Schizosaccharomyces pombe: one gene and its partners. The protein of the gene in region 1 purifies or fractionates together with the protein of each later gene. This does not show direct contact. Each region holds a gene or a part of one and is shown in the gene's direction. Other genes may lie near its edges. The genes, in order: taf4, taf11, taf3 and taf7.

Region 1 (8,707 bases):
ATATTTATACAATTCAATAACAACACTATTAGCGTATAAAAAATAAGTAAATTTAGATTTTTCTATAAATTTGCAATTATATAGACTATTGATAACGTAAAATAAATTATCCCATTTGCTTAATTAAGTAAAATGGTATTTTTTTAATTGAGGTACATCAAAAGAATGTGTTTGAATAATTATGGTTTCGTCCAAAATTCAGTATCTAGTTATGAGGTGAAATGACAAAGTAATTTTGAAATTCGATTAAGGTGAAGATAGATTGAGTTGAATAAGTCATTTTGGGCCAATCGTAAATTTCAAAATGAATACTTTGCATTTTAAAGATAAAAACCAGGGGTATTGAAAAATATTGTTAAGCTAAAATGAGGATTTAAAGCAATAGAAGTCTAAACACGTTCATAGAATAGCATATACGCTTCGACTTTTGAAACCTCGTCCCAGGATGATTCGCGTACAATATTGTCACTAATGTAAAGCCATCGTCTCTCGGGTATGCCAGCTTCAGAACGGAAATCCTTAGAATTCGTAGAAGGGGCACTGAGGTCTAAGAATTTATGAGACAATACGTAAGCAACATAATGACCATAATTCAGGGTGCCACTGTGCACAATGACCCCGAAAAGTCGATATCTAAAACTACTTGAAGCACGTAGGTGTGGCATAACGAACTCGTTTAAATCTAATTCTTGTTCAAACTCAATGAAATCGGAAATTTTTTTGGGATTGGCGTAACCATCGTGGGAAATCTCCTGGAAAAAACGCTTCAAATGGATAATAAAAACAGGAGGTAAAGGGTCATCTAATAACATCCGCTTGTAAGCATTTCTATAAACACTGTTATTAAACGAATATTTATCGTTATCCGACGTCAATCCTCCCTTAGCTGGAGAGCCAACTTCGTTAGGTTGATTACAGCAATTCTCGCAGGCAAACATGTTTTCACCACTTAACTCCTCAACATGAGTAAAGTTTTTGAGACAATCAATAAGTGTCTTAGGCTCCTCTATTATTGGGCTTGATAGTGAAGATTCTGAGAAAATTGAATTACTATTATCAAAATCTTGTTTCGAAATTTGCCCGCTAGAATTGACAGAGAGATCACTTAATCTTCGAGTCAGTTTTTGAAATGGAGACTGTTTCAAACTCTTGTCATTTTCACTAGCATGCCCACCAAGTAAATTTTCATTTAACGAAGAGGAATTAGTAGTCGGGGCTTGATCAGTGTCGTCGTTAGCATTGTCAACAACTATCTTTACAGACGATTTTTTTGGTGAACGACTAAATCGTGAACGGAGAGCACGATGGAATCGATGACGACGACTTACGCGGCTAGACGGGTAATGAATAGGTATGGATAAATCTTGAATAGGTTCAGGAGTGTTAGTAATTTCATTACAACTTTGGCACATCACAACGCTCGTTAAACGGCCTGTAAAAATTGACTTGATCACCAGGCTTGAAGAAAATTCATCCATAGTAGCTTTATCAAGCATCATATCATCTGAAGAAAGTTCACCAAGCCGTAGTATGTCTAGTGAACGCCTTTGAAATTGAGGAGATTTTAAAACTTCTTTTTTAGGACTAGCCTCCTCATGATTAGAACTATTAGATACATTGAAATGAGAATTAGGATCTTCAAAAGAATTGGTACCAGCGACCTCATGTTGACCCTTAAAAACTTGTTGTCCCTTGTCTGAACTGGAATCGAGAAGTTCTGACGATGGAAGGGATTTTGTAGACGAGGCCGCTAATGGCGATGAATTAGCAGGCAAGAAACTGTCATGCTGATGCTGTGAAGAGTCAGATGATTGCGACAACTCCTTCGAATAAGTAATATCTTCGGTCTCAGAACCCACTAATGAAGAAACGCTAACATAATCTTCGTTGTTCTGCTCGTTATCACTTGTATTGTGTGAATTTGGCGACAAAGAAGCATCTGTAACATTCACTTGTTTAAACGAAGTTAACGATTTAGAAAGCTGTTCATCATCTGTCAAACATGGACTAAGTTGAAGAGAACGTGATACACTATTAAGGTTAAATCTCAGTACACGAAATTCTTCAGAAATGAGATCGTCCAATAACAGCCTTAAAAGCTCGTGAGCATCCTGCTGGACGCTTTCGGAAAACTGGGGATGTAGTCTTCGAAATTCTCCGAAAAAAGTGGTAGGACGATATACGGAGATAGTGCCATCTGATTTATAAAAGGTCTCCAAAAATTTAATGAATGCAGATAAAAGAGAAGATTCAGGAGATTTCGTTAACTTTCGCACTATAACTGAGGAGTGGGAATATTGGAACGGGCTAATCACATCGTGTAAAGCCTCACAAGCACATAGGACTTGTAAAGTCGAATTAAAAAAGCATGTGGCACCCAAATTTTTTAAACCAGGACTGATAACTTTATATTTCTTCGAGCTTTTGCCAGAAGAATGCTTACTCTTTTTTTCCTTTTTAAAGTGTGACGAATTGGATTTTAAAACGTTGGGGGCCTTAGTTAACGATGAAACCAAGTTAGAGCAAATAAATTGTTGAACGTCCCGCACAACTAAATTCTTTTTATCAAAAATAACTATATCTGCATCACAACTGTAACAGTGACATTTCAAGGTTATAATGTTGACAAAAACGCAATGCTTCTTATTCTTTTCAAAATGTTTTCGGCTATGATCAGACTCATGATTGCAGCAGAAAAGGTAGCCACAATTAGCACAAAGTGTTAGTTCATAATCCTCCCTTTTTATTTTCTCCGTGGTGCATATAAAGCACAAATGTTTGCTCGGATCCCGAAGAGCACGAGCATTACCTTTGAGATGAGACAGCTTAACACCTTTTTTCAAATGAGAACATTCTTTGGGTGGTGTTGAAGGGGTTTTAACACTAGCAGCTAATGATTCCTTTTTCATTTGGTTAACTAATTCACTACTTGTCAGATTGTTAAGCCCATTCTTTATGGATGATGGATCATCAAATGGGTTTGTGGATGGCACAATTAAAGTGTTAGAATGAGGCATTATAATGCATATATGAAAACGGGACAAAAAAAAGACGATCAACAAGGAGGAAATCAATGGATAAATTAATGCAAGGAAAAAAGTAAAATAAAGAATGAAATGCGGATACTGAAGGAAACCTGTTTTTTTTCTAGAGAAACAACAACAATGGGCCGCAAGTTCGAACAGAACGGGCCAAAAAATTCAAAAGATAGGAAAGAAAATATGAGTTTCAGAAATAAATAGAATTTGCTCCCACAAAAATTAGCAAAAAGGCTATTTTTATTTAGCGGATTTGCAATTGTCGCCTTTAACAATCAAAATACAATCAACAATTATAAGCGTTGCTTCCGGTAAAGGAATGTTTCACTAACAATATTCTTACAAATGTAAAAACATTTGAAGATGTTTTGAAGACTTTGTCCGACGATAGTTAAGATTATCCTGAACCTTTAATCAGACTTCAATGGACAAGTCTATTAAGAACTGATTTCTTTTAACAAGTGTTTACACGCACAATTGAATCAGTGTACTATTTATGCTTATGGAAATCTTGGAATTACAATAGAGGTTGGGTATAAGTTTATCTGCTACAAGCTCGAAAGCGATCTTGAAAATAAAGATCGATATAAGCCTCTTAAAGAGCCTCTCGTTACCTTGCCCAATAAAAAATACAGTGTATTCGTTATAAATCGGTAATAGGGAAAGGTAAGGGTTTAATCTTAAGTTCCTAAACTTGCTAGTAAAGAACGTATTGATAACTACCAACATTTTTAATACAATATTAAGCATAGTTATTGTAGTAGTATTCTTTCATGGATTTAAATAATCCTCCTTCAAAACGCTTTGGAGATGACGATGATATTCCTGCTAACAAACGCCCCAAAAATGAAGAGTATCCAGAAATTCCAGGTTATTTAGGTAATCGAAAACCTTCTTATACCCAAAATCCTAATTCAGGGCCTGGAAAATTACATTATGCATCTCCACGACCAAATAATGTATCATCAAGCGTTGGAGTGGCAAGCGGCGGCGACAGGCAAGAGGCAGATCAGCTTCAGGATGCTCTTATTTCATGTGGTATTCAATTAAAAGAAGAGGAATTGAATTTGTCTACTTCCTTTTATGACCCTTCATCTCTAAATACATTCGCGCTTACTACCGAAGACCGTTCAAGAAAGTCAGACTTCTTAAATTCTTTTGTGTTGATGCAAACAGTTAGCAACATTGTAAACTTACATCGTTTAAAAAGCATGGATTCTGATATTCATGCTCTAATATCTATGGCAGTCCGTGATTATCTGGCAAATTTGTTGCAAAAAATGATTGTTGAAAGCCATCACCGGACTTCACAGTTGCATACTGATAATTACAAACAAGTTGACAACGTGCGCCAGACTCTTGCCAATTTTGCTTATAAGGAGTACGAAAGTGAGGAGAGAAGACGTACAGTATTGAATATTCGTAGAGCAGAGCATGAAGCTCGTTTGGCTGAACTTAATTCGGCTTCCACTAATGAAGAAGGATCGAGTCGACGTAGAAAAGAACAAAGCTCTTCCGCTGCAGCAAAAAATATATCTGAAGATGCGCAAAACAGAATGACTAACGCTACTGCAAGCATCATGGCTGGTAGTGCACTACCATCCGGTGGTAAAAAGTACTCGTGGATGGCAACTGATATGACTCCAATGACTCCTGCAGTTGGAGGTGGATTTGGTATTCGGAAAAAGGATTCTAATTCTCTTAAGCCCTCCTCCCGTGATGGTGTTTTGCCCTTACAACAAGAAGAAAAAGGTATAATTACTATTAGGGACGCATTAGCGGTTCTTGAAATGGATAGAGAAGGTGCTGGGCGTATTTTTGGTAGGGGTGCTAAGGCAATGATGCGTGCTTACATTAGGCTAAAAGATTAAACTTATGAATTTAATATGGCCTTAAAAAGTTATGACTAACTCATTTATTTATCTCGGGGATTCATTTATAAAACCCCTTCCTCCTATTTGAGTGGATTATTGTTCAGGACAACCGATGACTTTTTAAACACGATAATTGCATTAGGTCAAGTCAGGCGGAATACAATGTTTTGTTCTATCGAAATCAATTTTGGATTTCCTATGATGTATTTTTCTTAAATGAAACGAAGAATAAGCTCTTTTTTTTATTCTGGTTATATGTAATTTTTTTTTAATTTGTAAATAATATACACGTTTGTGACACACGCAGGAATATACCGTTGCTTTCTACTGGTAACGTAGTAATAGTCTATCACTTCTTAGCAGAAGCATTTAAAACGCTTTGCTGCTTTTTGCTATTTAGTAAATTAAGATAATGAAATGCACTCTCATGTACCCAGGGTTGTTGATAATAATCAGCACTTCTTTTTTCTGCATAATTCATATTTGTGCCATCCAAAACGATTTCTAAATCTCGGCTCTGGGATTCAATCCATTCGTTAATAAATTCAATTGGACTCTCCGAAAATTTCTTCATGAAATCATACTTCGACTGTGAGTAAGTGATAGCTTGAATTAACTCGGTAAGCTTATCGTCAATACTTCTGATTTTATCTTGCGACATCATCGTAGCAAGGAAAGAGCGAATTTGGCTGTGCCTAGGATCTTCCGTGTTGATACGGATATCAAAAATTGTAACTTTTTCAACAGTATGTTCACTGACATTAATGGTATACGGTATAACAATGGGATCAATAGGTTCGAGAAATCTATTCATAAGCTCAGGAATTCTAGGGAAGTAAAGACGATCTGCTTCAAATAAATCCCTTAATGCCTTATCACAGTTAATTAATCTTTTCTCCTCCATGTCTTGCAAGCGATGGAACTTGATGTATTGCCAAAGGTAGCTAACGATGTCAGGACGAGTGCCCTCACGAATACCCAGTATATTAGCAAAGGCTTTTGAAAGTTTATATCGTTCAGGATGCTCTTCAGGGTATAACATAATTTTGACATCTACGGATTGGTCGCCTTTTCTCGTAACGGTAATGCCGTTAGATGTATTAGAGTTATCCGGAAGTTTATTCCATTCAACATAATTACCACTAGGATAGAGATCATCTGATCGTAAAATTTGGATAGCAATTTTACGGAAAAAGTTGGTGAAAGGTGCTAATTCAAAAGCTTTATCGTCTTCGTCGTCAGGATTAACGAGTAGTCTACCTTCAATATGGAGAGTCCATTCAGGTATGGGAAGGGAGTTAATGTCGCCAGAATTATTCTCTTGATTTTCTCCCTTTTGTTGCCATGATTGATTCGCAACAGTGGAATGTATGTACATACGAAGAATCCTGGTTTTGTGAGAGTTTCGACTTAAGGAATCCTGTAAATCAAATCGTTTCCGAACGATTAATGAATCCAATTTTCTTTCTAAATCTTGAAGAGCAATATAATCTTCTGCTTCTGGGATTTTTTCAAGCAATGAGTCTGGAATTTCTCTTTCAATAATTCTCATACTCTTCTTCAACTCTGCGTCTTCTCCGTTACCGCTTTGTACACCATTCTCTGGTAAACGGCTATTATTAGACATGATAAGCTGTCCTTATTCAAGCTCCTCTCAAATATGCGGCAATCCGAACCGATCAATAATCTTCGATATTTGGTGGACGTGAAGTGGTGGACCCAAATACCATTTAGTATCTATCTGCTTCCAACAGCTGAGCACCGTTAACTGAAATACTAGGAATTACATATCATTTCTTTTGTATATGAATTATTCAATTGTATCTCGATTTTCGAGCGTTGTCGATATAAAAGCAGTTAGTATATCGAAACCATAAGATGCTTTGCTGATCACTCATTCACGACGCTAACAAGTTTATCAACGTATTTTTCACTAAAAAAAAAACAATCATTTCTATAATAATTAGTTATTAACTTTACTTTGAGTATAAACACATACATATACACACCTGACTAACTTGCTGTAATATAAAGTTACAATGTTACCCATCCAGCAGTAGCTTCATCTCTCGCATAATTCCATGCTGGAAGCACTTTGAAATAACCATCATCATCATGTCTAGCAAATCTAGCCTTGAATTAGCAAACAATGCAGTAAAAAGCAACGATATCGAAAAGGCGATTGATTTGTATAAAGAAGTTCTTAATAAAGGAGTTAGTAAAGACGAAAAAGTTGCGAATGAACAGGAACAAGCTCTCACTAACTTGAGCGATTTATACGTTCGTGAAAAGTATGTAAATTCTAAATAAAGGAACAGTTATGCCTCAAGATAACTAACATTTATTTCTCTAGTCGCCATAATGATTTGGCTCAGTTGGTTCAACAAAGTCGTCCGCTGATGGCTAACTTCTCGAAAGCCAAGTCTGCTAAAATTGGTAAGTATCAATGTCTATTGTGTTAACAACCTAACACCATTTTAGTCCGAACATTAATTGATAAATTCTCTGGCGAAAAGAAGTCTTTGCCTTTACAAATCGAAGTTGCTAACGATTGTATCAAATGGGCTATTAAAGAAAAGCGTACATTTTTGCGTCAAGCTTTAGAGACGAAATTAATTTCCTTATATTATGACAACTCATCTTACACTGATGCCATCAATCTCATTAATACTCTTTTGTCAGAGCTCAAACGAATGGACGACAAAATGCTTTTGACCGAAGTTCATTTGTTGGAATCGAAAGTTTATCACGCAATTAGAAATATACCAAAAGCTCGTGCTTCATTAACAGCTGCTAAAACTTCTGCTAATGCTGTTTATTGCCCTCCGATGCTTCAGGGGAACTTAGATTTGCAAAGTGGTATTTTACATGCTGACGATATGGATTTCAAGACTGCTTATTCATACTTTTATGAGGCTTATGAGGGATTCACGTCGCTTGATGATGATAAAAAAGCCCTTTCATCTTTAAAATACATGTTGTTATCTCAAATTATGCTTAATTCTGTTTCCGAAGTCAAATCTTTATTAACAGGAAAGCACGCAATTCGGTACGCTGGTAGAGATATTGAAGCTATGCGTGCGATTGCTCAGGCTCATGAAAATCGATCCCTGGCTGATTTTGAAAAGGCTTTGCAAGACTATAAACCTGAACTGGCTTCCGATCCAATCATCAGATCTCATTTAAGTAGTCTCTATGATAACTTGCTTGAGCAAAACTTACTTCGTGTTGTCGAACCATTTAGTCGTGTTGAGGTATCTCATATAGCGGAGCTTATAGGTTTATCCACTGTTCAAGTTGAAGGCAAGCTCAGCCAAATGATTTTAGACAAAATTTTTTATGGTATCCTTGACCAGGGTAGCGGATGTCTAATTGTTTACGATGAACCTCAACAGGATAAAACTTACGAAGCTGCTTTAGAAGTTATCAAGAACATGGGTACTGTTGTTGACCTTTTGATCGAAAATAAAGCTTCTGCATTACTTTAATTTTACGTCTTTCAACTATAAAAATGGATAAATAAATTATTTTTAAATCTAAATACTTTCGGTAAAAGTAGTGTTGTAATTGATGATGGCTACTGTTCATTGTTGTTCACCTTCAGTATCAAAAGTGTTGTCATCGACTTCTTCATCAATTGTGAAACCCATTGAGGGATTTTTTTTCTCGCCCACTTCATCATATTGTACAGCACGCCAACCATTTTCGGCTTTAGCGTCTTGGACCAAATCTATGGTTGGAAAGTAATGTTTGTTCATCTTTATGGTTAAAACGACTGGGACTTTGTCAAAAGTC
Region 2 (7,965 bases), 920 kb from region 1:
ATCGTATCTTGTGAATCAGAATTTGATGGATGAAGCGCTTGTGAAAAGCAATCTGCTTAAGGAATACAACTCGGAGAAAATGACTATTTTAGAAATGGCACCGGGACCGGGAGTGACTACCACTTCGCTGTTCAATTACTTCCAACCTAAAAGTCACGTTGTGCTAGAATCACGGGAAGTTTTTTCCAAACCTTTACAAAAATTGTGTACGCTTTCTGATGGAAGGATTAAGTGGGTGCATCAAGATGGTTATTATTGGCAAACTTACGAAGATGTGTACGTTTCGAAGGTTTTGGATCCTCGTATTCAAACAGAAGAGGAGCAGAAGTTATCACCACATCGCGAACTTTTATTTTTTGCTCATCTTCCTCATGGTTATGCCGGGTTATTATTTGTTTCTCAAATTTTAGACTTTCTCTCGGCAAGGGATTGGCTTGGCATTTTTGGAAGAGTTCGTGTATTGCTATGGTTGCCCTGTTCTCCTACTGTTACTCTTCTTGGAAGTAGGGGATTTTCAAAAAGATCCAAGACATCAGTTTTCCGAGAGGCCTTTACAGACTCTCGTGTATTAGCTGCCTCCGAGTCAACATTGCAAAAATTATGTATGGGGTATAGTAAAGAGGCCAAGGAGAATTATCAAATTTCTCCAAATCCTTTATTAGTTTCACCCACGCCAATTACTAGTGAACCGCATAAAGAGGACCTTACTTTGGTTGAAATGTGCTCCAAACCACAAGATAAACAATTGTCTATTCCAGTGTTTGAAAGCATTGTTAGGATACTGTTGACATGTAAAGCAACATCACTTTCAAAATCCATTTATTATTTAGGCCCAGGTGCGGAAACTCTATTACCCTCCTTCACCCAATGTGGGATTAACATCGATATGCCCGTTGGACTATTGAGTGCAGCCGACTTTCTTACCATTTCAAAAATTATACAAAAATATCCTTTCAAACATCATTTACATTTGGGTACAATAATTGAAGATTCATAAAATTTACAGAAAATTGGGGGAAACAAACGTATTGATTGTTTTTGTTCATACACGCATTTCTTTGCATCCAGTAATTTTGGTTTTTTAAAACCACTCTCTTTTTTATCATTTCTCCACTTCATGTTCTACTCATTGCGTTCTGAGGCCACTGTATTTCATTTATTTGCCTGTGCCATATTCGCTACATCATTAAAGGATTTGTTTGCGTTGAGACACGCGTTCATTCTAATCACCATATTTAAAATAACTTATGCTTGCTTAATCTATTACTAATTTATTCAATTTAAGTGGATAGCTTCCGTTCAGGCTTGTTTTACGTTCTTTTATGTCTCTCATAGTCTCAGGTATCATTTTTTTTTTGGAAAGTGCATAAATGCAATATGGATTTAACTGAGCTATTTTAAATGGAAGTTTACATCTTTCAACTTTTTTAGATGTTAATTAATACAAATACCATAACTTCGAAAAACTATTATAATATTCTTTATTATACCATGCTGTTTATTAAATTGTTTACTGAATTAATGTTTCATTATTATGAGTTGCTTTAGCTTTCAAGGTAGTATTTAATAATCGTTCAGTAGAAAAGCGGATTATTCATTCCCAAACATAAAAAGGTAAATGGAACATACTAGATTAGTTTCTACCCGTATTTGGCATTCCAAAAATAATATGATGAGATCTCATCAGTTTAAAGTGCGCTAGACAATAAACTACCATTAGGCCACGCATATTATTTACTGTTAGCACTGCACACCAAGTAAACCAATTAATTCAAAACATGGGTTCAGTTCGCATTCGCTCTGTCATTAAAGAAGATCTTCCGACCGTTTATCAGTTTATTAAAGAATTGGCAGGTAAGCGCCGTTATGACCAAGAGGACGAAGTCGTGTAGATTCTATTAAAAGGCTAGAGCTTTTGCCAGTATCCCAGACTCACAGGGTCTGATTCTCTTATTGAATTGGAGATTACTCTTAAGCTTTTTATATGGATTTGAGAATATATGGTTTTCGTCAGCAGGGTCGATCTCTACTTCTGTCCGCATGCTATCAGATCAGTTTGTGTTACTATTTAAAAACCGGTTTTAACATTTTGTTTATGAAGAATTTGAAAAATGTGAAGATCAAGTGGAAGCGACAATTCCGAATTTAGAAGTTGCATTTGGATTTATTGACGAGGTTACTCCTGTGGCATATGGAGTATTCATCGAAGAAAATGATCAGGTTCGTAAAAAAAAGTAAACTTGCTTGATCTTTTTTACTAATCTATAATTGCCATCAGCCCGCAGGAATGGCTATATATTTCCTAAATTTTAGGTAGTGAAAAGTTCCGTTTTGAAATATATGAGCTGACGTTGAATAGCACGTGGACTAGCAGAGTGGGGATTTATTTAGTATGTTCTTATCATATTGTCCTTCATAACCTTTTTATTGAAGGATTAACTTTTGATTTCATAGCAAGATTTTAACCATTCAATTTCTTAGGAGGACTTATATGTTCGACCCCAATTCCGTGGAAAAGGATATGGAAGCTACTTACTGTCTTATTTAGCACGAGAATCACTTAGAATTGGTGGCAGACGTCTTGACTGGGTTGTAAGTTGTTTATAACCCATTTCTTTTTTTATACCTTGACTAATACCCTAGGTCCTTGATTGGAACCAGAGAGCCATTGAAGTCTATGAAAAGGCTGGAGCACAAAAAGTTGGAGGATGGAGTATGATGAGAGTCACCGGCGAGAACCTAAAGGCTCTTGCTGATAAACTTCCCGGCAACTTTTAAACTCATACCCAATACTTAACGCTCTAAAAAATTGAAGCATGATATGTTATACCTTTGAAACCTTGAACTGGAAAGAGGAAAATTAATTTTTTATGATTGAAAGATCCTGGATCTTGTAGTTTCGTTTTAAAGCGGTCATTTCAATGTCTTTAGGTTATTTCCCGTTTACCAAAAAATACGATATCAATTTACATCTTACATTTTTTAAAATTAAAAAATAAAGAATCCTTTTTTTTGCAAAGTAAATTATTAGAACTGGTATATTGTTCTAATGTTAATTCCTATAAAACTAATTTGATCGTTTTCCTTTCAATTCATCAAATCGGCTTCTTATTGTGTATTAAAAAATAGAAAGAAAGTATTGGTTAGTATTCTTGAATATCTTTTATTGTGTTTCTTTTTCGAAACGCGTCGCGCGCAATTGTAAACAAACCAACTACCTACAACAGTTTGCCTGTCAATGTTTCAAGGAAAGTGCGCCTTTTTTGATGAAACCGTACCTTCTGCATTAATTGCTTTATGGCGTAAGTTTTAAAGGTTTGATGTGCACTTGTTTGTTGTCGAATGATTTATGGTTCAGTTGTTCTTACTAAAGATAGAATTACACAACGGAGAAGCGAAATTTTTAGCAGAAGGTTATGAAAATTTTGATTATGCATTTTCAATGCATCTAAGAAAGCACGTCCGCTTGCCAAATTACAAATCAGTTCAATGTCGTTCTCCTTGGTGGATTGCGGAGCAAGTAGCTGTTTCCAGAAGGTATTTATTAAATTTACTAAATATTGCATTGATAGTTTATCTTATCATTTACCAAGGCAAGTACTAACCACCATTATTAGCAAAAGTTACGTTTCTGAACCTGTCATTCATTTGAACGTGATGGAACCTTTATATGTTGATCACAGAATACGTTCAGTGTATCTACAGCCTCTGCCATCCACGCTTTCTTTTCTAAACGGTGAATTACCTTGAAATGCTTTGGTGCTGATATGGCGTTGTTCCGATTGTAAATTCTATGCTAATTGTGAAAAATACCTTTCCTTTTTCTATCCTTTATAATTTAATGATCGTTCCTTTAGCTCTCAAAATCGTCAACTGAAGTTGTCACAACCTTCACTTAACCATACGTTACGAATATTAATTTAATGCCTATTTATGCTATTAGCCTAAGATTATTTTCGAATTTTACCTAATTTCTTTATTTATATCCCATAAAGACACTTACGTCTTTTCAATGGACAATTGAACAAGTATACATTGCATAAACATAAAAAACTTACTTCATCTAAGTCCGAGTTTAAAAACTGTTGTTTCCATTTATTATTTCTCATTTACGTTTCGTTTCTTTTTTATTCTCTATTTTTTAATTCTTTTTATAATAACTTTTTTTTTCTGGAATCGCTCACCATTCGGACTAATTTATCTACTTATTTGCATAGGAAACATGAGCAAGTCTACTTTTCATCAAACTTCCCCATCTTTTGTACAATACACTCATGCTACAGATAAACTAAAACCTGCACCTCATGGGATGAATACGCGGGGAAATAACTTATCCTCTATGTCAAAAAATACCGGACAAAGAAAACAGCGTTCCAAATCCATTCATGGACTTCCAGTTGCTCCCGTTTTTTATCCTGATAAAGAGGAATTTCAGGACTCTATCGGTTATATTAATAAGATAGCTCCAATCGGTGAAAAATATGGTATCATAAAAATCGTTCCTCCTGCTGGTTGGAATCCACCGATGCAACTTGACATGAACAAGTTTTCCTTCCGTACTCGGCGGCAGGATTTGCATATGATGGATCTTCGATTTCGTGAAATAGTCTCTTACGATGAACGCGTTTACCGTTTTTTTTGCAATCTGGGCATGGAGCTCCCGGAATCATTTTTTATTTCCAATACGTCTATCGACTTATACAGCTTAATGCGTTGTATTGATTCTCATGCATCTCTAAGTGAGAAGGAATTAAAAGTTCATGTATGGAAAAGGATTTTACGAGAACTTTCAATTCCTTTTACTAATGCATCATTAAAGGAAGCAAGTGACTTGTATTTAAGGTATATTTTTCCATTTGAGGATTTCGTCAGAAAATATCAGACCTCTGAGGATCAATGCTTTGAAACTGATCTCTTCCCTAAATTTTTTACAAAAGACGAACATTCTAATATTAGTATTAAAGATCAGAAGACATCTAAACAATTTAACCCCGAAACTAATGAGTCCGTAGGAATTCTTCAAAACCAAGAATCCAAGAGAAATGAGCAGATTAAACAACAATATATGCCAGCCGATAATTTTGGATCAAATGATAATCACTCACATAATAAAAAGCGACGATTGAGCTCTCTGTCAACGAATAACAACCACTTATGTGACAATTGTCACAAACCTGTCAATTGTGAAGTCGAAGATACGTGTAAAGAAGCGTATTGTACTAAATGTATAATTAATCCATATGAGTTTGGGTTTGAAACAGGGAATTATTATACTTTATCGAACTTTGAAAAATACTGTGACAATTTTAAGAAAAATTATTTTTCTAAATTTAAAGACTCGGAGATAACTGAGGATATTGTTGAAAAAGAGTATTGGAAACTCGTAAAAGACAATAATACAAGCCTTGAAGTGGAATACGGTGCAGATTTATCAACCCTTGATCAGGGCAGCGCCTTCCCTAGTTTAGCCAAAAATCCAGTGAATCCTTACTCTAAGGACACATGGAATTTAAATGTTATAGCATCCACAAATGGTTCTCTATTAAGCTATATAGATAATCCTGTTTCAGGTATAACCTGTCCGTGGCTGTACGTTGGAATGTGTTTTTCAACTTTTTGTTGGCATGTCGAGGATAACTATACTTATTCCGTAAATTATCAACATTATGGAGACACAAAATTATGGTATGGAATTCCAGGTGATCAAGCCGAGAGGTTTGAACGCGCCGCTCTTGATATTGCTCCTGATTTGGTAAAAAAACAAAAAGATCTGCTTTACCAATTAGCTACAATGATCAACCCTGATGAGCTACAAAAAAGAGGTGTCGATGTTTATTTCATCGACCAGGGGCCTAATGAATTCGTGATTACCTTTCCAAAAAGCTTTCACGCAGGAATTAATCATGGGTTTAACATTAATGAGGCAGTGAATTTTGCTCCCAAAGATTGGTTACTAAACGGATTCTCTTTGAATGGCGTTTTGAAATATCAGTCACTTCTTAAACCTCCTGTACTTTCACATGATATGTTGGTTTACAATTTAGCGACAAATCCGGCGTCAGAGATAAGTGTGTCTGAGCTAAGGCCTTGGGTGCATGAGGCTGTCAAACGTGAATTAGGTATACGTATCATGATACGAGGACGCTATGATTTAAAGGAAATACTTTATCGTGAATTAATGGAGGATGCCGAAAATTGGCAATGCCAGCATTGCAAAGCATTTTCATACTTCTCTCAAGTTGCTTGTTCTTGCAAGTCGATTACTGTATGTCCATTACACATCGAATATCTTTGCAAGTGCGATTTAAGCAATAAGACCTTACGCCTAAAAGTCGACGATAATGAGTTACAGAAGTTGCTAAGTTATTAAAGTTACATTTATTCTTTTCTAAAACAATTATTTTGCAATTTATAAACCTATATTTTCAAGGTCATTTACAAACATCGTTGGATTCATGTAATGTAAACAATTTGACTATAATCATAGTATTGTACGTTTAAGGAAGCGTAGTGTACTTGCTTATGTATGAAGCAGTTTCCAACCTGTGAAATTTACTTCTTGTACATTCTCACTTTGCATAACAAAATCAAACCCAATTTTTAAACATTTAGAGCTCTTCAGTTTTTTGAAGATAGAAGGGATAAATATGAAACGAACTGGTTCTGCGAGTTCAGTACCTCGATTTCAGCGATCGATGAGCTACGATCAATCTAATTCTCCTACAGCAGGAGCTCATGCAAAGGCAAATACGGCATCGCCTGCTGCTGAGCCTGCTCCCTCATCAAAAGAAAAAGAGAATTGGAATCGGCAAGAAGAAAATGATCTGGAAGAAGACGATAGGGATGACTTTGGTACAGCTGCTATTTCAAAAGTTGCTGGAAAACCTGGTGAAACGGACGACGAAGCTAATGAAAAATTGCGCACAAAATATCTTCTAGAGAGTTTTGATGAAGAGCAAATGCAAAGATACGAAGTGTTTCGTCGTGCTAACTTAAATAAAACCAATGTTAAAAAATTGGCTAACCAAATTTTAAACCAAAGTGTAACCCCCAATGTTGCTATTGTGATCTCAGGATTTTCAAAGGTGTTTGTTGGAGAAATCGTTGAATTAGCTCGAAAGATTCAAGATCAATGGGGGGATACTGGTCCACTGAGTCCTGATCATTTACGAGAGGCGTATAGATTATCACGTCAAAATCGGAGGCTTTATCCACAGAGCCGTCATGTTAGTCATTTGTTTCGGTGAATTTAGAAAACACATACCTAGGCTCTTAGTGTATCTATCACCGGTTTTTCTTCCCTTCTAATTTTTTCATGATATGCCTTATTCTTTAAAAGCATGGGTTAGGGATTTACATTTTTCATACATTAAAATGAAGACAAATTACCCCTATCATTTGTACATTATTTTTATTTTGTCCAGCTACAACTGCCAAACAATTGCTAGTGATATGTCACAACTGTATGTTAATGAACAATATAGTTGATAAAATTACAGAATGTTAATATAAATTTAATGGATCTTTCTTTATTGAATGTTTCTAAAGGCCATTTGCTGTTGCTCTTTGTAATTAGTAATATGTTAATTGCTGTTGTCCAAGCATATTTCGTAATAAAATCTACTGCTGAAAGTACAGCAAAATAATAATAATGGTATGAACGTTATATTTTTTCGTGTTTGAAATACTTTCTTTCTCATTTATATTTATCTTTCAAGCTGTTTTATTGACAATTGTGCTTGTTTATACCTCGATAGCGATGTAATTCTCAGCAATGTTTGAACCATCCTTCACGATATTCAGTTTTATATTTTTCATTATACTCCTATACAATAAAGTAGTCTCTAATGAGTCCTTTTTTTTTCTTTAACCATACCTCTTATTTTAAGTAGCAATGTTACTTGGTATGGGAATAGCCTGGTAAAAGTTGTCATACATTGGACTTGCTCAACAACAGTCTATCTG
Region 3 (7,558 bases), 1.7 Mb from region 1:
TCGCAGCGTAATAATCATGCTCGTCATGTCTCGTCTTCTGGAACAACTTTGTTTGCTCCTGTCAAACCGGCAACCAAGAAATACAATTACAGAAGGGTGTCTCCCCATGGAAGCTATATTAGCGTACGAAATTTTTTACTTGCTCTGCATTTTACTAATTAAACATATAGCCCTTAGAAGCAATGACTGTGAAACTAGCTGATACATATTCAATTTGTAATCCAAAATTCCAGTTTTCTTCCGAACAAAACCCTCGGAGACCACTCACCAAACCCAGTGAAGGAGTTCACAACCATGGTTTTGATAACGTCAATCATGATTATGTATTGTATGTTAACGATTTGCTAGGAACGGATGAAGGCCGTAAATATTTGATTCTCGACACCCTGGGGCATGGCACATTTGGTCAAGTTGCTAGATGCCAAGATCTTAAAACCCAACAAATTGTAGCTATTAAAGTTATCAAAAATAAGCCGGCATTTTATAACCAATGTGTGATGGAGGTTTCTATACTAGAGCTCCTTAACAATAAGTACGATCCAGAAGACAAGCGCCATTTAATTCGTTTATATGATCAATTTATGCATAAAAATCATTTGTGTCTCGTTTTTGAGTTACTCAGTATTAATCTTTATGAGCTTATCAAGCAAAATCAGTTCCGTGGTTTACATTTAAGTCTTGTTCGTTCTTTCGCAACGCAACTTCTATCGTGCACATCTCTCCTCAAACAAGCTCGAATCATACATTGTGATCTAAAGCCGGAAAATATCCTGTTGCAGGATTTATCATCACCGATTGTGAAAGTGATAGATTTTGGTAGTGCTTGTCACGAACGCCAAACAGTTTATACCTATATTCAATCGCGATTCTATCGCAGTCCGGAAGTAATTTTAGGACTACATTATAACTGTGGAATTGATATGTGGTCTTTGGGATGCATTTTAGCTGAACTATTCTTAGGTCTTCCCTTGTTCCCTGGAAATTCCGAATATAATCAATTATGTCGGATTGTTGACATGCTTGGTAATCCTCCCACTTGGATGTTAGAAATGGGTAAAAATTCGAAGAAATATTACAATTCTGGTTTTGTAAACGGTAGAAAAACTTATGAGCTTAAATCGATCGAACAGTTTTCTATCGAAAACAACAAAACAGAGCAACCTGGAAAACAATATTTTGGTGAAAAGACACTCGATGCTATTGTTTTAAATTATCCTCGCCGAAAAACCACACCTAAGCTTACTCCTGAAGAACATGAAGAGAGACTTTGTTTCATCGATTTCATAAAGCAGTTTTTAGAGTTAAATCCTTTGAAGAGATGGACTCCTGACCAGGCGAAAAATCATCCTTTTATCACAGGTGCCTCTTTCAGTCAATACTGCATTGACAAACAAAAACCACTGCTTACAACTCAAAGAACGAGGAACCGTTCTCATACTATTGGAAATCAAGCGGTGGTTCCTCCTTCCTTACAGCGTGCAAGCACTTATGTTTCCAACGAACCTGAAGAATTTGTACATACTCGACCGCTGCCTCAATATTATCCTCCCGCTAATGAGAACGAAAATGTAGATGAATTTTTCTAATGTCATATTTTACGTATAGAAACATTCAAATTTATTTAAAATATTTAATAGGCATGATCCATTCCAAATTTTTTTTTTATGTTGTACCAATTTTCTAATAGCTTTCGTAAAACGTTTTCAATTTTCATAAAGCATTCAAACTTTTGATGATATATACATACTACGAATATTTTCAAAGTTCCTTCGAGGCTTCAATATGCAGTTTTCAATAGTAAATAGTATAAAGCATTTACAAATTTAACGCTATATTTAGCGCTACGGTAAATACTCTATGTAGAGAGGTTTTATACTTTTATGTAGTAGACATTCACAAATCGCCAAAATGAAATCAAGTTCACTTGAAAATGGGACTCTTGCTAATGCGGGTGTTTACGAAGATGATCTAGATAGCGACGAAGAATTGGTCTCAGAAGAAGAATTTGAAAACTTTAATAATGAAGATTCAGAAGACGATGAAGACTCAAACAACGAATCAAAAACAGCTAAAAGTCGTATGTTAAAAATTCTTTTATTTTCTTAATTAATATTTACTCACAAATTTGAAGAGTTAGCTGAGATTCCGTTTGATACATTGTTGAATGCTCAAAGGGACCTGCTTAAAGAACAGCAAAAAACAAAGATAATGACAGAAAAAATATGAAACATACTGAGAAAGTTGACAAAAAATTTTTGGCGAAAGAAAGAAACACGCCCCTCAAGAATTGTCAAGTAAAAAACCAGTTTCTCGTTTTCGCGAAGTAATATCTGAACCAAAAAAATTTACTCGTGATCCCAGATTTGACTCTTTATCGGGAAACTTAAGTAAAGATAAAGTGAAAAAAAATTACGGCTTTTTGAATGAATACCGAGTATCGGAAATCCAGCAATTAAGAGATGAATTGAAGATTTGCAAAGATCAAGAACGGGCGGAGAGTATTCGACAAACTTTAAAGTCTTTACTTTCTAAGATGGAGAGACATCTCGAGGAGGAAAGGGCCGAACGTGTCATGCATGAATTCCGTGCTCAAGAAAAAGAAAGGGTTAAAGAAGGGAAGAAACCGTTTTATTTGAAAAGGAACGAACAAAAGAAGTTAATACAGATGGATAAATATAAATCTATGGAAGGGACAAAGGCTTTGGATAAATACATTGAGAAAAAGAGAAGAAGACGCGCTCAGAAAGAGAAAAAACATCTTCCAAGAGCTAGACCGTCTGCGAACTCACAGAATAAGTGAACTAAATTGTATCATTATTGGATTTGGGAAAATTTTTATTAATCATTTCACTATAAAAAATGATGTTTTATTGTACATAAATTTAATCTGTATGTAAAACTGTTGTCTTTTAATAAAGAAAGAAACAAACCTGATTTATTTAAGCATAAATTAAAAAAAGAAAACCTTCTTTTTCGTAGAAAATATTAAATTGGTCATTCATGACTAGCAGCATGGTATTAAAGTGAAATAGGGTAAATGAATTACCGAAGCAGTTTAATTGCCAAAATGACAATTAAAGCAACGATCAGAAGTATTAGAAAACATATAAACCGAAGCCGCCCGGTATTTTTTTGGTGAGACTCCGCTTTTATTAACTCCTTTTCGGCAGATTTTGCATGAACCTGTGTTTGTTCAATATTGAAATCAATACGATCTACTAATGCTCCTTGTTCAATAACAAGCACTTGTAAGTCTTGAAACATCTGCGCTAGCTCAATAATGCCTTCAGCGATCTTGGCAACAGCTCTTTCATGTCGTATAGCTTGTTCGTCTTCTCCTTGTTCTTCCATTAAGGCAACTTGTTGTATAGTAGATTGTGAAATTGCAACGTCGGATACCGTCTCGTCGAGCTTTGACTCTACAGGAGATATGTTGGCGTTTAAACCACGAAGTTCTAAAAAATTTGGGGTCAGTACATTTGTTAAGGAGAACGCGGGATAACATACTCTTCAAATAAGTAGATTGCTTTTTTCTAAACTGTGCACTTTCAGTTTGGATTCTGCTAGCTAAATTTGATAAGAAATTTTTAGCCATTAGAGCTTCTGAGCCTGTTGCAGAGTTTGTTTGAGCTTTGGTAACTTGGAGAAGCTTCTGACACCTTTGGAAATCTTGTGTAATTTGAATGGTTAATCTCTGTATTTCATTCTCTTGCTCAGTTTTGTCGGAAAAGCTAGGTAATACATGTTTAGCATATTGCTTATCAAGCAAATTAATATTTCTTCGTGTATTTAACAGCAGACTGTCTATTTCTCCTTCAACTGTTACCCATCTAGGGGCAAGCATGTCCATCTCTATTACAGTGTTATCTTTATTATCTTTATGGACTAAACTCTGCCGTTCTTCTTTAGGGTCCCAACCCGACAATTCCAATCGTTGCCCATGATGAGAGTAGGATTGTCGAAAAGTAATGTACAAACCCGTACGGTCTCGATAGGCCATTAGATAAGAAACAGGAAGAAAGAAATATAGTAGAGTAAGTAATAAAACTGTTTTCCACCTGTAGGCACACTAATTTCGAAAACACCTTTTTTATAGTGGTTCTTCCCAGCGTGAGAAATAAATGAAATTATTTCAGTATTCAAACTCAGTTTCTATTGTGACGACTTCAGTCTTATTTCCAGCATAAAGGCTTCTTAAACACTTGGTTTGTAATTAAATTGATACTTGAGTTTTTGTGCTCAATGGGTCTCAATCGATGTGATAATTTACAAATACAATATCGATGTTGTGTGAACCATTAAATCTATTTAAAATTTGTAGTATGTATCATTATGCAAGACTAACGAGGCGCTGTGTCTCCACTTTATTCAATTCCATGAGCTAGCTTTAAAGGTTGGAAGTCCCCTGCAACATAAAAACTATACTGTGAGCTGGTATAGACATTACTTGACTTTTAATAAGTCTATCGTTCGATTTATCTAGTTATCGGAGATGGAAGAAACACAAATTGACGAGCTGTATTTCTCGCTAATGAGGATTTTCTGTTCTCAGACACTTCGCGCAGCTGGCATTGACCGAACGAAGGTTTCATTATTAAACTCTTTTACTGATATTACTATCCGGTATATTAGACTTCTTTCAGAAACCGCTATGGCAAAAGCTGAAGTTGGCAGGAGGAGCTGTTGCGATTTGGGCGATCTGCGTCTTGCAATGGAAGAAATTGGTTTGTTAAATGGCTCTGAAGAAGATGTTAAAACGTTAGTAGAATGGTTTAATGGTCCACAGGTTGCGGAACTTCGTCGGGTATCTGGATTTGTTCAAGACAGTGAAACGCAAGTCAAACCTAAAGACTGGCTTACAAGCTTAATTCAAAAACAGATTCGTGTCAGCGGCCCTGAAAGATTTTATGAGACTGTATTTTCTGCTTCTAACGAAGAAGAAGACGTCAAAGATAGTTAACAAAGCCTTCTGCTAAGTTCAAGTTGATCCCATGTTTATCTAGAAGGCGTTCTAATGGCGTCGCATAAAAAGGTTATTAGTTTAATTGTTTCAGGATTAAACTAAAATTTTCTTTTATTTCTTGCAGAATTAGTTTATTACTTTACTGATCGTTTATCACTTGTTATGCCTATAAGATGACTATTTAGATTCGCTATACATGTGTCGTACGTGAAGTCTTATTCGATTGCTAAAGATTCATACAAGTCAAGCTGGTTAAAATTAATCATTATTCTTATTTATTTTTCTAAATTGTTATGCCAGAGCTGCCGAGTGTCTTACATCTTCCTGGCATTTTAACTAACAACGCGATTTTCAAAAAAAAAAGGCATTTTTTGTGAGTGATATCCACCGTTTTCTCTACAATTTTAAGTGATGAAATTTGTTTAAACAAGCTTGAAATAAGCAATTCATTCATTTAGATTTATTTTGTTGAGAACGTCGAGTTACATTGTTACTCCTTATGGGTGAATATATCTATTCAACCGGTCTGTGCTCAAAGCACTCCTGTCCATGACCTCCATGTACTAGCTGTTACCTGAAGAACCTGATTATAAACTTTTCGTTTTTGGTATACTATTTATTCTATTGTTATGAGAGTTTTGAGGAACTTTACAATCTTTTTTCTTTTCACTGCATTAAGCCTTTTCCGGCAGATTTCAGCTAGTGCAGGAGACCTACATCCCGTATACGTTTCTTGTGTAAATAGGTGCATCGAAAATAAATGTCACGGAAACCCATCAGATACGTCAAAACTTCCGCTGGACTTGAAGCTCTTTCGATGGGATTGCGGTAGTAACTGCGGATATGAATGTGAAATAACTGCGGAAAATTATTTTGCCGCTCATAATTTACCTTCGCAACAATACCATGGAAAATGGTACTTTATACGAGTTTTTGGTATTCAAGAGCTTTTCAGTGTCTTCTTTTCAATGCTCAACTTTATGATCCATTACAATGGTTACCATATAATGCGCAGGTGTATTCCAGATGAGCATCCAGCTAAGCGATTGTGCTTAAGCTGGGCTATTGTAGGAATGAATGCTTGGGTTTGGAGCAGTGTATTTCACATTCGTGATACGCCTATTACCGAAAAACTCGATTATTTCTCTGCCGGCGCTTTTGTTCTTTTTGGTTCTTATTGTACCTTAATATTGATGCTGAGACTGGATCAATTACCGGGGGGAAAACTTTTGTGTTGGATAATAGGCGTTATCTTCATAGCTGCCTTTATTGCCCATGTAAGTTATCTTTCTTTTTATTCCTTCGATTATGGTTATAATATGAAAGCAAACGTCGCAGTAGGTTTAGTCCAAAATATACTGTGGTATTACTACTCCTGGTCAAATCGAAATTCTGGACTTTACTGGACTAGATGGCCAGCGTACATTGTTACTAGTCTAATGTTGGCTACAAGCTTGGAACTCTTTGACTTCAGCCCTATTGCAAATCTTATAGATGCTCATGCTCTTTGGCACTTGTCCACTGTTCCAATTACCCATTACTTGTATGGGTTTGTAGTTAGGAAATGCTCATATGATCTAACCAAAGGAACCTTTAAAATTAAAGCCTATGATAGCAGTCGATGATTATTTTATCTTTTCTCTATTAAGAACTACAAGCTTTTTCTGTACACATATCTTAATGATTATTCCCTTTTTGGCTTTCCTCGTTTTAAAGTATTGTTATTATTAATTAATTCAAAACCACTTCCCTAACAGTAGGTTTTAAAGACCTAGTTTTTTCCCAAAAATTTTGCCTTTCATCTATAGAATTTAGTAATATTTATATTTTATAAATACAATAACCCTTTTTCCGCTCTATTTATTAATAGATTTGTTCTTCACGATCAAGATCATCACGTTTGCGCTTCGTGTGCAATTTTCCCTTTGATTTTCTCCTATCGTGAATCTCCTTCATTTGAATAATAGCTTCACGTTGAGCTTCTCCAACACGTTCAGATAAAAGAAATACACCCTCCTTGTCAATTTCATATTCCTGCATTTTTTTGCCAATTGTAGCTTCAATTCGAAGAAAAGGTTCTAAATCATACTGAGTAACCAATGCAATAGATTTACCTGCCCGACCTGCTCGAGCGGTACGACCAACTCTATGAATATATGCCTTTGAGTCGGTAGGAATGTCGTAATTAATTACTACATCAACAAGAGGTATATCTAGACCTCTGGCAGCGACATCAGTTGCAACAAGAGTAGATCTCGCACCTGACTTAAATTTATTTAAAGCCCCAAGACGATTACTTTGAGACAACTGTCCATGTAAAGGAATAGCAGAAAATCCTAAGGTACGTAATAATATGGCCAACCGTTGAGTATCGTTTACTGTACGAGCGAATATGATAATTGAATTGCCGGCAAGTTCATTTACCAAGTAAACGAGATACGTGTCCTTGTGTTTAAATGGAAAAAACAAATACCGTTGTATTAGGGTATCGACGGTACTAAACTTGGAAGATACAGCAACACGCACGGGTTGGTGAAGGGATGCACGCTGAAGCTTTTCAACCTTGCTAGTCATAGTAGCAGAAAATAACAAAGT
Region 4 (8,540 bases), 1.3 Mb from region 1:
GTTGTAATCAGTAGAGGAAAGAGAAGATCCTTTGGAAGATGGATAAACCAACTTTATAGTGGGAAAGCCCTGTACCTGGTATTGAGAGCAAACGGCCCTATTCTGATCAGCATCACAATCGACAGCAGTAACCGGCAAGAGTGAATGTAGATTGCTGGCTAATTTTTGGTAAGTAGGTACAAGCTTTTTGCAATAACCACACCACGGAGCATAAAAGACAACTAAAGATGGGCCCTTTGCTTTTACAAATTTACGAAAATTTTTGGAATTTAACTCAATCGTGTTGGATCCAAACATTGGTGAGTAGCCAAAGACGCCGGATACAAGGCTGAAGCAAGCCAAAAAGAGCGTAAATAAAGTTGGAATACGGAAGAGCATAATGATGTGTAGTTTGTCCAGCGTATTTTTAAGGGTAGTAAGGTGAATGAAAGAAAGGAAAATGAAAATCGAAGAAATAAAAAAAAATAGAAACCGTTTGGCGAAAATGAAATAAGAAATACGTCCTAGCTACAAATGATCGATGCAATGGGAAGTAGTTGGTGAATGGAAAAATCGAGAGGTTTACGGCGACAACCACTTTAGTGTGAGGTTTGAGTGAGCATATGTCACGAGAAAATTTAGAAGAAATAATAGGTTTTAGTCAATCAATGAGTTATAAGGCTTATTGAAATCATCATTTTGATATAGAATAGGTAGAGTATGTCAAGACACTAGAAAAATCTGAATAGCGGGGCACAAAAAATGCACGATGAAAACGATGCGACTTGATTCCCCTCAAATGAAAAGAAAGTGTTTGTACGTCAAAACTATTAGTACTAGAGTTTTTTGAATAATTGACTTGATGGTTTTAATACTTGAGTAGACCTAACCTTCATCTACCTTTTTATATCATGTAGCTGGTATCTGTAATCCACCAACTGTCAAACCAAAAGTACAGAAACTTGAAAGGAGAGATATTTGACAAAATATGATACAAATAGATACTATACCGAAGGAATTACAATCCATTCAACCGTTTGTGAGACGATTCAATGAACTTGAGGCACACAATCCTGTCATAGCTTATTGGAGTAAGTGTTTAGTAGCTAAGTGATGAATTTGTAATATGGAAGGGTGTATGAAAAAAAAAATTGGAGAAAGAAAAATATAAAATAATAAAAAAATAACTTAAACCTTTTTTCTCTCTTGTTTACGTTGATGAAGTTTTCATAGTCTACATTTCGCTAGAGGGAATACTACTTTCCATAATACACCCTATTATAAGCACAAAGGAATTTGTTTCATCATTCGAGATATTCATTTGCTTGATTCACTAACTTGTACTATTACTAGGTCTATACTGGGCAGCTCAAATGGCGCTTTCCAGCTCACACGGTGTTTCCAACGAATGCAAGGATTTCCTGCTGTCACTCATTGAGCATTTAGAAGATGTAAGTTTAGAAAACATCCTTTTCCTTTTTTTAAATGTTGGCGAGGGTTTTTTCTCTTTTTTTTTTTTTTTGGATTACGAGACCAACTATGTAAATGTTTCTGTGGTACTAACCGCTCTATGGCGTGTGTAGTTACGTAAAAATTTGGGCGAGAATGAGAATGTGAGTGACGAGACTAGTGCAAAGGCGTATGTTGAATCGTTTTCCCTAGAAGTTCTTGTCCAGGCCGAAAGAAATAGCAAAAACGGGAAACCAGATGTGCAAGCGTATTTGGCAGCCCGAGATTTTCTAGAGTTGTCGAGAATCTGGGGACCACCTACGGAACAGGTACGTGAGTCAAAAACAGCGAGAGCAAGTGAGACGGAATGAAAAAGAGTAACGAGCAGAACTTAGGAGAAAAAAAAAAGAAAACCACGATCAACAAAAATGAAAAAATGAAGGTTCTTTGGAAATTTTTTTATTTTTTATTTTTGTTTTGTCAAAAACAAAATCGTCTTTTCCAATTCACATTACCATGTGTTTTTTTTTTCGACTCGTTTCTTCTTTTGCCATTCTGAGGATTTCCTTCCTATCGGTATTTTTCTCTCTCGTTTGTATTATACAACGATGCTTTATGATGCTTATAACGATTTTTTGTTCCCTACTAACCCCTATTGCTACGTAGATTACCAAGTCAATCAAATTTTGCAAGTTACGTGCGCTCCAAGTCGCAAATCCCCAACGAAAGGCCAAAACACCCTCAAACCACGCGACCGAGGAGTTACAGCAATCTTCCACAAATTCCACAACCCTACCTACGCAAGAAGCCGCCGTTGAAACGAATGCCTCTGCTTCTCATGAAACATCTTTTGCTCTCCCCACTACATCTCCAGCAGCATCGCTCTCCATCTCTCCTACAAAGTCTGCAGCCGTATCTTCCGAGCCTAATGTAGAAGCAGACGTAAAATCGTTGTCTTCAACACCGGCTGCTCCACAACTAAATTCACCTTCCCATTCATATGAGCCTACCACGTTCCCCTCAACTACATCAATAACCGAAAATTTGCCAACAATAGATCCTACTCGTTCCACTCGCTCTTCCTCGCATATCCAAAGTTTATCTCCTGAGTCAAAGCAAACATCAGATGGGCATCGGCCTCCCTCCCCTACGTCAATCACCACCACCTCCACCTCCATCGATCCGTCAGTAGCATTTTCCAGCAAGTCAACTTTAGCCACAACAAGAACAAATGCCCCTCTATCAAGGCCATCTCAACCGACTAAAGCCTCCCCCTTGAACAAGTTTTCCGCCTTGGAGGCTATCCAATCTGCTCGAAGTCATGCACGCTATGCATACAGTGCATTAGACTACGAAGACACAACGACAGCCATTCATCATCTAAAGTCGGCACTAAAACTTTTGGAGGAAGAGGAGCAGGGAAATCATACTGCAGACTAGAGGAAGAATGCTGGGGCTGGAATGGAGGGGATCTCAATGAGACAATGGGAAAAGGTGGGGCAGATACCAGTAAAATTATCTATCCATCTTGGGGAGAAACAATCTAATTGTACCACTCTCCCCACTATTCGTCTCTCTTAATGTTTGTTTATTTGTTTGTTTTTTTTTTATCCACTTTTTTTTCTTCAAATGCTTTCTAATTGTAGCAGGACCCCGCCTTTCTCTCCACTCTTCCCATTTTCCCTCGCCGTTGAGTGGCACTGCTCATCCCTGTCTCCTCATTTTTTGTCGCGTCATTTTAGCGAGCGTTTATTAAGGAACTGGCGAATGACTGCTGTTGTATATATTTCCCCAGATTTTCAGCAAGTAAGCTTTTGTCTTGTACTGCATACCACGTTGTCTTTCTTGCCCCTATGACGCAGTTATGAGACCAACGAGTCATGGGTTTATCCTGCCTCATCTTTTGTTACGTTATTTTCCTGTCTGCTTGGGTTTGGCTTCCGCAGTGGGGAACTGGCAATTGCGGTGGATATGTGTGGTGTCATCGCCCTCTCATCAAGTTTATATGTAGAGGGGCAGCGCTGAATTCTTTGCTCTTGGTTATTGCTTTCGCAGTTTTCCATATTTCCCCCATCCATCCATCCATCCATCCACCTCTTCTCTTCTCTTCTTTTTTTAACAGAATTGCTTTTTCCATTGTAAAATAAAACCATAGCAAGTTTTCACTACCACTTGGGTTTTTTTTTCTTTTCTTTAATTATTTTTTTAATCAACTTTCGTTGCTTTAATTTTTAAATATTTTTTCTCTTTTCATTCTTCCTACTCTTCCCGTTTACCGTCGATCGGCTGATTCTAGTTTTGACAATCACCATTGACTACGTCGATCCCTTTTTTTTTGGCCAGCCGAGATCATATATCCCGTTCATTCTTGGAACTTTCGTGATCTTTCGACTGTCTATTGATTCCGCAAACAAGTATATATATACACATATAGTTGTTTTTTCTTTTTGGACCTCTGTTCCATTGCGTTTCTCTCCTTCTTAGTTACTTGTGCTTCTTTACCTATTTCCTTTTTCTTTTTAAATAAGGATTCTTCTGTATCGAAATAAATTTCAAGAAAGGTAAGAACCGTTCCACACGCCTATTCTTGTATTTCTCTTTTCTTCGATTTGATTCGATTTCTATTCGTAACGCTTAGCTAGTCTTTGAACTTCCTTCATAATGATTGGTCCTCGTCTTTGCGCTGCAACCCCTCGCTTCCCTCTCGTTTCCCTCGCCCACAGGAACTCTAAAGTATTTGCGCTCGCCTCTTCCAATGCCGTTGCACAACGTTGGGGCAAACGCTTTTATGCTCCTATTGAAACGGAGACGCCTCACAAAGTTGGTGTAGAGTTTGAAGAATCCAAAGATCGCATTTTCACCTCTCCTCAAAAGTATGTTCAGGGTCGTCATGCCTTCACTAGATCCTATATGTATGTCAAAAAATGGGCCACTAAATCAGCTGTCGTGCTTGCCGACCAGAACGTATGGAACATTTGTGCCAATAAAATTGTCGATTCTCTTTCTCAAAACGGAATGACTGTCACCAAACTGGTCTTTGGCGGCGAGGCAAGCTTGGTGGAACTGGATAAACTTCGCAAACAGTGCCCTGATGATACTCAAGTCATCATTGGAGTTGGTGGTGGTAAAACCATGGATTCCGCAAAGTATATTGCTCATTCCATGAATCTTCCATCCATCATTTGTCCTACTACTGCCTCCTCTGATGCCGCTACTTCCTCTCTTTCCGTCATTTACACTCCTGACGGTCAATTCCAAAAATACAGCTTTTACCCCCTTAATCCCAACCTCATTTTCATCGATACCGATGTGATTGTTCGCGCTCCCGTCCGCTTCCTTATTAGTGGCATTGGTGATGCTTTGTCCACCTGGGTGGAAACTGAATCCGTTATTCGCTCAAATTCCACTTCCTTTGCCGGAGGTGTGGCCTCCATTGCTGGCCGTTACATTGCCCGTGCTTGCAAAGACACTCTTGAAAAGTATGCCCTGAGCGCTATTCTTTCCAACACTCGCGGTGTTTGTACCGAGGCATTTGAGAACGTGGTCGAGGCCAACACATTGATGTCTGGTCTAGGCTTTGAAAACGGTGGTCTTGCTGCTGCTCATGCCATCCATAACGGTATGACCGCCATCCACGGTCCCGTTCATCGTTTAATGCATGGTGAAAAGGTTGCTTACGGTACCTTAGTTCAAGTTGTTTTGGAGGATTGGCCGTTGGAAGACTTCAATAATCTTGCTTCTTTTATGGCAAAATGTCATCTTCCCATTACCCTTGAGGAACTTGGTATTCCCAACGTAACCGATGAAGAGTTATTGATGGTAGGTAGAGCTACTTTGCGACCTGATGAGAGTATTCACAACATGTCAAAGAAGTTCAATCCATCTCAAATTGCTGACGCTATTAAAGCCGTTGACTCCTATTCACAAAAATGGCAAGAACAAACTGGATGGACCGAGCGTTTTAGATTACCCCCTTCTCGTCATAGTCCTCACTTGACCGACATTCATCCATAGGCATTATTTTTATCCCCAGCTTCAATTTTCCCTAGTAAATCCAAAAGAAGAAAAGAAATTTTTAAGCGGGTTTTCTTCATTGATCATTAATGTCCTGAGTGTTTTTTTTTCTATAGTAGTCTTTTATTTCGTGTGCTTCCTTTCCTCTTGGAACTTTTTTTACCTTTTTTCTTTCTTCCTTTTTTTTATTTTTTTAAAAAAGTTGTAAGCTTTTCCCGTTAATCTAGTGATTTAATGATCAACCTTTTCGGCCTACTCCAAAGTTTTTTACGCCCCTTATAACTTCATGAATAATTTGCTTTATTTTTGTTACGAATGAAAAAAATTGTTCCCCTTTTCAAATGAATGTTTTATCGTTGTTAGTTGTATTGTATTAAAGTTGTTCACCGTAATTGATCTATTTGTTACAATGCACATCATCTGTGTTGCTTCCTTTTTTTTTTTTTTTTTTTGCAATCGCTTTTTATTGTGATAGATTTCAAAAGTTTTAAATGTAATTACAATTAATAATGTTCCTATGTTAGAAAACTTTAAATAACTAAAGTGATTTGTTTTCACGTATTATACAATTGTCGCTAGTGGCCTTGTCAAACATTCGTTGTTATTATATTATATGCTAACTCAATATGATTAGTATGCTACAAATGGTATAATAAGTGAGTAAATCCCGGATTCCTAGCTACATTGAAAACCCTTTTTACCTTAACCTTTGCATCGATCAACAATTTCGCGCTTTATTTACATTGTTTACTGTGGGATAAATAAGTAGTGTTGTCAACAATACATTACTCAAGGATACACTACGTTGAGTATCACTATATGACACATGTCCTAATCATTCATCGTTGTATGAAACAGTATTGAGATTGACCTTAATAATAATCTATTAATATTTTTATTATCTGAATACTATAAATAGGGCTACTGCCGAACCTTGTTCCTCAGTTCAGTAGTTTAGCTATGTCGGTGATCGATACTAATGGACTTCTTATAGTAACAAATATACATTGTTAGTTAAACATACCACATACCGCTATACTGTAGGTCGCAAGAGAAACTCACCGCAGTTCTATGAATCGTTAAATAGATACCAAACTGCGTAGCTGACAGGTGTTTGCAGATAACGATTGTATTAAAAAAATGTTGTAAATCACTATGGCTCGTTAGTAGTAGATAACGAGACTCACTTGAAGGTTTAGCGACTTGCTAATCGAGCGTTTGCCAACGACAATTACTCAAAAGGCGGTTTTCGAAAATGGTTAAGCTAAAAATTCGTGCTGTTCAGCCTCCTCCAAATGATTCACGATCTAGCACTCCAGCCACTGGTCCTCCTCCCCCAATTCCTAAAATTAAGATCAAGACACGTGAACCTAAAGGCCCTCGATTGACAAAAATTCGGTTAAAAAGAGTTCGCGAACCTGGCTTAGGATATGATTCAGAAGCTTCTGACAGAGAAGAAGACACTTATATTGAAGAACAAATTATATTACGTCTTCCTCCTGGTGAAGATTGTGAGTATGTTCGAAAAGCAATTGAAAATAGGGAAGTGGGACGAGGTGCAGACATATGGGTGAAGTTCAAAGGTAATGACTTGGTTACACTATATTATTATTAACAGAGTTAGATCAAAGAAGAGCGGTTGTTCATGTTAATGGTCATTTGTACGCTGCGAAGTTAGTTGATTTGCCATGCATCATAGAATCTAATAAATCATTCGACAAAAAAGTTATCTTCAAGGCTGCTGACATCTGTCAAATGTTGATAGCTACAGAAAGAATCGAGCACGAAAATTCTGTTCTCAATACTCAGTTAAAGCAAGCTGATTACATTTATCCACATGGATTGACGACGCCAATGCATTGGGTGCGGCAGAAGCGATTTCGAAAACGTGTTTCGAACAGAACAATCGAAGCAGTTGAAAATGAGGTTGACCGATTGCTTGCAATGGATGAACGCGCTGAAAGTACATCGAATGAGTTGATTGATCAAGCACAATTGGCTCGTGACTCAAGCATCGCTCTTTCAGAGGATACATCGTTTGATGGAATGGCAGGACTTCGTGGTACCAGCATCGATCGGGACGACCAAAGCGTGCAAACTGATATGTTTGATGGTATGGATGAGGACGATTTGGCTGGACAGATTGAACAGGGTATGCTTGAGCTTAGTCAAGATACTCGGGAGTCAACAGCAGAACCTCGTGCCGCAGGTGAAGAATCTGCTAGTGAAGAAGAAGAAGAGGAGGAAGAAGAAGAAGAAGAGGAAAATGAAGCTGACGATGAGACTCGCGAAAATAAACGACAAAATAGACTTGTTCGTGAGTTTATTTCAGAGTTGGAGTCTTCTATTCAAAAACGTAGAAAGGATGCCGATGAAGCAACTAATCCCATTCTACGAAATCGTTTCCTTGCAGACGTTAATCGTATGGTGACCGAGTTAGAGTTAAAACGTACTCAACTTGTCGATAACCCTGAATAAATGTGTTGCGTAGTTACATCTTTTTACATTTTTTTTTAAAGAAAAAAGCATTTATTTCTATACGTTTTACCTTTTGCATATCAGCTACAATAATAATGAACATCGGTTATGGTTTGGATATATATACATATATTTATATTTTATATAGTAGATTGTAAATTGCATATTAAGTATTTTAGACACTGATAGCCAGAATTAGTTTTGTTAATGAAGTGTACCGAACTTTATTACAACAATCATTTTTCTGCATAAGCAATTCTATTTAAACGTATACATATATTTATTAATATACATTTATATGCTCATAAATAAATTTATATACTTGAAGATTACTATTTCTTCAACTTGACAATGATGCATTCATTGTCGCTTATAGTAACATAAACTTTTGCTAACTCTACAAAAAAACCCTTCCATTCGGTAACCTGAAAATTATGCCGACATGGAGGTATATTTTTTCATTAAGAAGTAAATCTTCTTTCACTAAAACCTGGGTACCGTTTACTCAAATTCGAAATTCTAGTAAATCCCCCAAAGTCGGCCAAAAGCCAATTTTACAAGGCGCGTTAGGACCTCCGTTAGATTTTATTAGACCGAAGGAAAAAGTAACTCTACCTCCT

The links.
Region 2: the proteins of taf4 (region 1) and taf11 purify together in Schizosaccharomyces pombe (affinity purification with mass spectrometry, with the first as the bait; one study listed by BioGRID). This does not show direct contact.
Region 3: the proteins of taf4 (region 1) and taf3 purify together in Schizosaccharomyces pombe (affinity purification with mass spectrometry, with the first as the bait; one study listed by BioGRID). This does not show direct contact.
Region 4: the proteins of taf4 (region 1) and taf7 purify together in Schizosaccharomyces pombe (affinity purification with mass spectrometry, with the first as the bait; one study listed by BioGRID). This does not show direct contact.

What each region holds. Positions count from the first base shown.
Region 1 is NC_003424.3:880,634-889,340, forward strand, and holds taf4 (transcription factor TFIID complex subunit Taf4), read left to right. Parts: upstream 1-3,749; 5' UTR 3,750-3,811; coding exon 3,812-4,909; 3' UTR 4,910-5,261; downstream 5,262-8,707. Other genes in the region: ubiquitin hydrolase Ubp7, read right to left, coding at 390-3,017; SWI/SNF and RSC complex subunit Ssr3, read right to left, coding at 5,262-6,539; proteasome regulatory subunit Rpn6, read left to right, coding at 7,028-7,203, 7,266-7,348, 7,394-8,400; htr12 (serine protease), read right to left, coding at 8,497-8,707. UniProt on the Schizosaccharomyces pombe protein: Functions as a component of the DNA-binding general transcription factor complex TFIID. Binding of TFIID to a promoter (with or without TATA element) is the initial step in pre-initiation complex (PIC) formation.
Region 2 is NC_003424.3:1,803,055-1,811,019, reverse strand, and holds taf11 (transcription factor TFIID complex subunit Taf11), read left to right. Parts: upstream 1-6,561; 5' UTR 6,562-6,647; coding exon 6,648-7,247; 3' UTR 7,248-7,396; downstream 7,397-7,965. Other genes in the region: RNA polymerase-specificity factor Mtf1, read left to right, coding at 1-997; SPOM_SPAC1002.07C (N-acetyltransferase Ats1), read left to right, coding at 1,779-1,854, 2,102-2,220, 2,279-2,313, 2,360-2,390, 2,482-2,592, 2,644-2,778; bouquet formation protein Bqt2, read left to right, coding at 3,239-3,302, 3,378-3,537, 3,618-3,750; histone demethylase Jmj2, read left to right, coding at 4,223-6,370.
Region 3 is NC_003424.3:2,585,821-2,593,378, forward strand, and holds taf3 (transcription factor TFIID complex subunit Taf3), read left to right. Parts: upstream 1-4,407; 5' UTR 4,408-4,492; coding exon 4,493-4,960; downstream 4,961-7,558. Other genes in the region: serine/threonine protein kinase Ppk15, read left to right, coding at 1-123, 171-1,586; SNARE protein Tlg2, read right to left, coding at 3,043-3,455, 3,508-4,000; pga3 (GPI-phospholipase A2 activity regulator), read left to right, coding at 5,593-6,588; ATP-dependent RNA helicase Rrp3, read right to left, coding at 6,827-7,558. UniProt on the Schizosaccharomyces pombe protein: Functions as a component of the DNA-binding general transcription factor complex TFIID. Binding of TFIID to a promoter (with or without TATA element) is the initial step in pre-initiation complex (PIC) formation.
Region 4 is NC_003424.3:2,171,910-2,180,449, reverse strand, and holds taf7 (transcription factor TFIID complex subunit Taf7), read left to right. Parts: upstream 1-6,662; 5' UTR 6,663-6,697; coding exon 6,698-7,025; exon of another isoform or gene 7,026-7,066; coding exon 7,067-7,920; 3' UTR 7,921-8,040; downstream 8,041-8,540. Other genes in the region: mpd1 (thioredoxin family protein), read right to left, coding at 1-378; vta1 (Vts1 family protein), read left to right, coding at 968-1,070, 1,333-1,430, 1,563-1,757, 2,095-2,868; glycerol dehydrogenase Gld1, read left to right, coding at 4,090-5,442; mismatch repair ATPase msh1, read left to right, coding at 8,355-8,540. UniProt on the Schizosaccharomyces pombe protein: TAFs are components of the transcription factor IID (TFIID) complex that are essential for mediating regulation of RNA polymerase transcription. Also involved in the transport of mRNA from the nucleus to the cytoplasm.